Regions from separate parts of the Mus musculus genome. Here region 2 is reported to be linked to region 1. The links are microRNA targets in miRTarBase. Many come from high-throughput screens and were not tested one by one. Region 1 holds a microRNA gene; the other region holds the end of a gene's coding sequence.

Region 1 (3,128 bases):
TTATTCTCAAAAGTAGATGGACAAATTATGTCAAAGGATAGTTATCATGTTTTTTTTTAATTTAGTCTCTGATAAAAGCTGAAGTGTATGATAGAGGCTTCTTATACAGCAAGTTAATGAAAAGAGTGTTGTGTGCAATGCTTTATCTAGTTGGATGTCAAGACACGTGAAACTTAAGTGCATGACACCACACTGGGTAGAGGAGGGCTCACAGTGTTCCTCATTTGTTGTGGGCTTGGGTGGTCACAGTGCTGATAAATGAATGCTGCTGTTAGTTTGGCTGCACAGAAATAGAACCATGCATATTGTGTTTCTAGGTGTATTTATATTGTTACCTTTACATAAGGAATGTTGTGTTAGTGTCAGAAAGAATCTCTTTAAGTCAGACAAGAAAAAATAAAGTACATTAACACAGTTCCCAGTACATGAATACATTTATAAAACCTCCACTCTTTATTTTGACAGTCATTTCCCTTAGAAGAAGGCAAGTAAAAGGATTTATGGTATGAGAAACACATACTAAAGGTGTTTGATAATATGATTTTAAGCCTAAATTACAGAAGAGTTCAAACATTGTGGTTTGATGACTATGTAATAAAATGGGCAGGAGATGAAGGAAGCTTTTGTGACAGTGTCTACTTAAATACAATTATGCTCATTTTTATATTAACATTGGTACTGATGAGATGAAGTCCTTATGACCATGGATTTTCTTAAAGGAAGGTTCAGCAAGTAACTCATATAATGGCCTCTGTATGTAACCAAGGTAACTTGAAGTTCCTATTTATAGAGGAATTTTTGATATCTGATGGCTTAAATTCTCTTTAACATTCTTTGGACAGTCTGTTCTTAATCTTATGAACCTCATGTTAAATAATGTAAAGAAAGGTGCTAACATAAGGTACTTTTATTAGTGCATACATGTATAAAGTTAAATACTATAGATCATAGAATATGAAGAGTTGTGAAAGATAAAGTGCAGTATAGTCCTTTTAAACCTATGAATAAATAAGGTATTGTTGATGTATCTAACTATATTTATATAATTGCTGGAATATACTGAAGATTGTGGGATCAAGCTGAGACACAGGACATCACTGAACAAACTGTGTGCACTGCAATACTCAGATTGATATGAGTCACTTCCTATTGCATGTTACTCCATCCTCTCTGAGTAGAGTAAGGCACACCAATCACCAGTTTTGGTACCTGTAAATGTCTCATGTATGGATATGGTGAGGTTGATACATGCATGCATATTAGATGTGTTTTCCAGTCTTCAGCTTCAATGTATTACACTTCACCTTAGATAGCTTGGATGAGTGAACAGACTACAGAAGGATAAAAAATGATCTTTTTGGGAAATACTACGGTTCAGAGAAAATGGCAGTCAGCTAACTTTCATGCTAGTGAAAACCATTCTTCTGAAGCTGGAGGAATGTTAAAAAGATAGGTTCTTGATGGAATCCATGATGATGCATGAACAAATTAGACTAGCATTTAGTTATCATGTGAGTTGGTAACTTGATGCAAGCTAAAGATAAAAAGGGGATTGTAGAGGCTAGATTTCAACATTTCAACATTTACATATAATGTATGCTGCTTTAGCTAATTTTCTGTGCACCCTGGGAAACATAAAAGATGATATCCCATATTGGGTAAGGCAATATTTAATGAAGATTTCATTTGTGTACTCACCTTATGAATATATACAAGTATGTAAGCATAAAAGTGCAAAACATTTAGTTTATTCTTCATATGAATTAATAAAATGAATTTAATTTTACAGATACAGTGTTGGCAATCATCTACGCAAACTACAGGTCACTGTATCTACCATATATTGTTCTTATATGGATATTTAAAACAGAGTTGTGATACTCATTTCTTCCCTACTCCCTCACTTATCCTAGAATCTTACCTTGCTCCACAGTTAAACAATGCCCCCCCCCATTAGTCTCCTTTCCTCTTCCATACCACCTGTGTTTTGTTACCCTTTTAGTAAGCTTTTCTCACAACTCTCTACCCAGTGGCCTTTTTCTATTTTTATGGGTTCTGTAGTTATTCCTTGCTGAACACACAAATCTAATAATTATTTTAATACTTGCATGTTACAGGAGGAAGAAAAATAACTTCAACGAGAAATTCTAACTTATATAAGTGAAATTACAGTCCCCCGTATTGTCTTGGTAGAGAATACCATTAATTGAAACAGAAGACACATCAGAGGATATTCTCTTGGAGGAATTTTTGGTGACAATTTGTAGATTGTGTGTGTGTGTGTACATATATGTATATATATTATACACAAAGTATGTCAAGTTTTAGCAACAATGTACAATTGGTACTTTGCTAAAAGATAAAGAGGATCATGGAAGCTACATTTGCAACATTTTTATATTAAAGGTATGATGTACCCTGCTTTACCTAATTTGTTGTCCATCATGTAAAACATAAATGATGATAGACACCATATAAGGTAGAGGAAGGTTCACTATGTTCATCACCTGGAACATCATTGTGGTATAGAAGCATTAACCCTTGTTAGAGCTTGCTGGCCTTAATTTGGCATTTGTATCTAAAGGACCAAAGTTTAGTAAGGTGCATTTATTCTTTTTTTTCCCATTTTTTATTAGGTATTTAGCTCATTTACATTTCCAATGCTATACCAAAAGTCCCCCATACCCACCCATCCCCACTCCCCTACCCACCCACTCCCCCTTTTTGGCCCTGGCGTTCCCCTGTACTGGGGCATATAAAGTTTGCAAGTCCAATGGGCCTCTCTTTCCAGTGATGGCTGACTAGGCCATCTTTTGATACATATGCAGCTAGAGTCAAGAGCTCCGGGGTACTGGTTAGTTCATAATGTTGTTCCACCTATAGGGTTGCAGATCCCTTTAGCTCCTTGGGTACTTTCTCTAGCTCCTCCATTGGGAGCCCTGTGATCCATCCATTAGCTGACTGTGAGCATCCACTTCTGTGTTTGCTAGGCCCTGGCATAGTCTCACAAGAGACAGCTACATCTGGGTCCTTTCAATAAAATCTTGCTAGTGTATGCAATGGTGTCAGCGTTTGGATGCTGATTATGGGGTGGATCCCTGGATATGGCAGTCTCTACATGGTCCATC
Region 2 (3,076 bases), not on the chromosome of region 1:
CCTCTTCTCTCTTTTGGGTTGCTTTTTTTCCCCCTACATCACTTGATGTATAGTCTAACATCTGGCCCATCACATCCAACCTTTTCTTTCCAATGGAGCTATCTGAAACTGTGCAGTAAGCTCATTATTGCTTCAGTTGCATCCCAAAGACAGTATTGGCATCTATGTCAGGGTGCAAGGGTGGGACAGGGCTTGCCTACCTGTGGCTTAAAGCACAGACTACATGCCTCAGATTCTTCCAACAGATCCAGAGCAACCTGAGTACATCAGTCATTGCTGTCACCATCCAGGGGGGAGCACATCACCTAGATCTCAGGTACAGTGTAGTGCAGCCCACCTCCAGGCCACTGTTGGGTTGTGGATTAGATGGACATGATGCTGACCCTGTCTGCTTGCCAGCTGAGTATCCTTACCCCTTATCTGTCTGCTTCTTAGAGCATCTAACTCAGAAGACCCCCCATCTGTCGTGGAGGTGCGTAAGCTGGAATCTACCCTCATTCGTGAGTGGGTAGCAGCAGCCAGACTAAAGCAACCAGCAATGCCACGGTGGCCTGGGCCTAAGAAGCAGCACCCTTCCAGATAAGATGCAGCAAACCCCAGACATCCCTTGTTTTATGTGATCTACAGTGGTGTGACAACTTGCCTTGTATCTGATGGACTGTCCAGATTTATGGTAGATGGAAGAAACTGAATAAACACATGTTAATGTGTCCTTGTCTAGTAGGATCCATGCATGGAAGGATGAGATAATTGGAGATATGCTCTACACAAAGTAACACTGCACACAGCTTGCTGAGACCATTTAGACATTTAATTAAGCAGGGACTCTAGCTCTCAGGTTTCCTGCTTTGGAGGAGGAGGGAAACCTGCCTCTACTGGGCACCAGCCTCCCCTTCCAGGCCCATTCCCATCTTGTATGCTTTAATGAGGCTCCCAGCTTTGTGGACATCTACCCAGTTTCTCTGATCCACAGTACCTCTTCAGAGGGCCACAGGGCAGTTACTGTCATCCCTTGACACCAGCCATAGTTTGGCAGGAGATGGAGAATACACTTCTCAATGCTTAGGCCCTGGGCGCCGCCTGAACCTGTCCATTCACAAGCCTATGGGGCTCCGGTAGAGGAGGACAGCATAGGGAGAAGCTAACATCAACCAAAGGGTTATAACTGATGGGGGGGGGGGGGGGTGGAGGGCGGCAGCTTCTACCCATAAACTCAAGGCCTAAGGATATGTGACCAGCCAAGTCCTTCTTTGTAAACACCTTTGGTGTTAGAACTGGCTTGGGGTCCACGTGTTTAACAGGAAGTCCCCAGCGTAGCTACTATACCTCAGAGGCACAAGGTGGCTGCCACTGAGCTGCAGATGAGTTAGTTAGCATGTCAAATCTCCAGATCTTGGGATATACAGGGAACACAGGCCCAGAGCCTTGAGGTCCTTTCTATTCTGTCCAGTTTGCCCTATGCTGTACTGCATGGAATTGGATAGGAGAATCCTAGCCAAGGCCCAGGGATAGTCTAGTAACAACTCATCAAAGACAGGGCCTACTCCATGGGCTCAGACACCAAGGCACAACTACCACAAACCTATCAGCCGGCAGCAGCATGTGATCTTCACAGGCCCTTGTGAGACGGCACAACCAAGCATCCTAGCCTGTTTGTATAATGGCCCCAAAGCCTTCCTACCTGAAGTGGACAGGAGCTCTGACTTTAGAGGGTAGTTGCTGAGATGTTATCCAGAGAACCTGCTGTCCCCTTAAGGTCAGTCTAGATAGACACCACCCCTTCCCTCCTCTCCACAAGAACCATTACAGTGGGACCAAGTCCACTTTCTTCTCAGCTGAGAGATCACATTATACCAGGGTATCCTGGGAATAAGACAAATTTACTGTTCTAACCCCCGCCAGCCCAGTAGGGTAGCCAGGAGGATCCCTGAGTCCAACCCGTAAACACTAGAGCCACAAAGACCCTCAAGGTCACACTGGCCCAGTGGACCCATGGGTCAATCAGGAGTCAGGGCTATCACAGGCCATTGGGCCATGCCCAGCACCTCACTGGTTTGGGCTATCACTCTGAACTCAATACAGGCACTGGGGTCCTGGGTGGTCCCAGGAGGTGATAAGAAGTCTTGGGACTACCATGGGGCTGCCGGTAGCCAGCCAACAGGGTCATTCAGGTATGGGAATCAGGAGCCATGATATGAGGTTTCGAGGAAGTCAAAGGCTTGGTAGACTTTCCAGCCTAAACCCCAGAACCCATACCTGCTAGTCTGACTCCTGCCCCTCCCACCACCTTCATGAAAAGTTGAAACTGGAGGGACCTACAACTGGGCAGGTACATCACACTTGACAGCTGCCCAAAACTATGTGGGCCTTGTGAAGGTCAGGGACCCAACAGGCCCACCTCAGTCTCCATCAGTGCCCAGACCAGGTGCTCTCCTCCTACGCAGGAGCCCAGATGGGGAGGGGATGGGCTTCTGTGTTGAACACACAGCTGTCCAGACTGAGCAGCTCCAGGTCATCAGAAAAGAGCAGGTACAAGTACTTCAGGGTTTCCCCCACAAAGAAGCTCTCCATCTTGTCCCTGGGCTCAGGCTTGTGGGAATTCTGGACGTTGTTGATAGAAGAATAGCCACCTGAGGGGACCTGCATAAGAGCCAAAGCCTCAATGACACAGGTTGAGCCAAGCCTTGTGAAGAACTTCTAGCTAGACGTGTCACTCAGGCTACTTGTTCAACCCCACATATATGGCCCCAGGGTAGGCTCCATCCTAGCAACTACCCAGGTAATGTCCAAGGTCAACCACAGTTCTACACAGGACCCTGTAAAATGCCAATAACCCCCAAGTGGCCAGAAAATACCTCCAAGAAGGGTACAGCTACAGGACATGACCAGGGTCTAGCTTGTTAAACACAACCCAGGGCAGGCACAGGCAAGAAGCTGGAGTTGTTGAGGTCTGGAGCAAAGAGCTAGGTGTCACACTTAGACCACATCCAGCTCTATAACCTTTTCTGGCCATGTCACAGTAAGAGAGAAGGCAAGGTAGGCCATGGACCCCAGTTGGGGAGGGGTAATGTGTGAG

The links. The annotated mature microRNA mmu-miR-880-3p reads UACUCCAUCCUCUCUGAGUAGA and lies in region 1 at 1,158-1,179, shown strand. An mRNA with a match to its seed (bases 2 to 7 or 8) in the 3' UTR can be bound and repressed. Matches are read on the target gene's strand: a 7mer-m8 pairs with bases 2 to 8, a 7mer-A1 pairs with bases 2 to 7 and ends in A, and an 8mer does both.
Region 2: the mRNA of Man1b1 is a reported target of mmu-miR-880-3p. Seed matches in the 3' UTR shown: 8mer at 1,542-1,549.

Annotation. Positions count from the first base shown.
Region 1 is chrX:66,798,591-66,801,718 of GRCm38, reverse strand. It overlaps Mir880 (microRNA 880), which reads left to right and starts at 1,112; the gene lies at 1,112-1,189. Mir463 (microRNA 463) reads left to right here and starts at 2,422; the gene lies at 2,422-2,496. It overlaps Mir878 (microRNA 878), which reads left to right and starts at 134; the gene lies at 134-211.
Region 2 is chr2:25,349,926-25,353,001 of GRCm38, reverse strand. It overlaps Man1b1 (mannosidase, alpha, class 1B, member 1), which reads right to left. Exons shown (of 13, transcript NM_001029983.2): 13 at 789-2,640. The coding sequence ends at 2,437. It overlaps Dpp7 (dipeptidylpeptidase 7), which reads left to right. Exons shown (of 13, transcript NM_031843.2): 12 at 246-316; 13 at 436-712. The coding sequence ends at 583. Among named protein-coding and RNA genes, the nearest start is that of Dpp7, 4.9 kb to the left of the region's middle.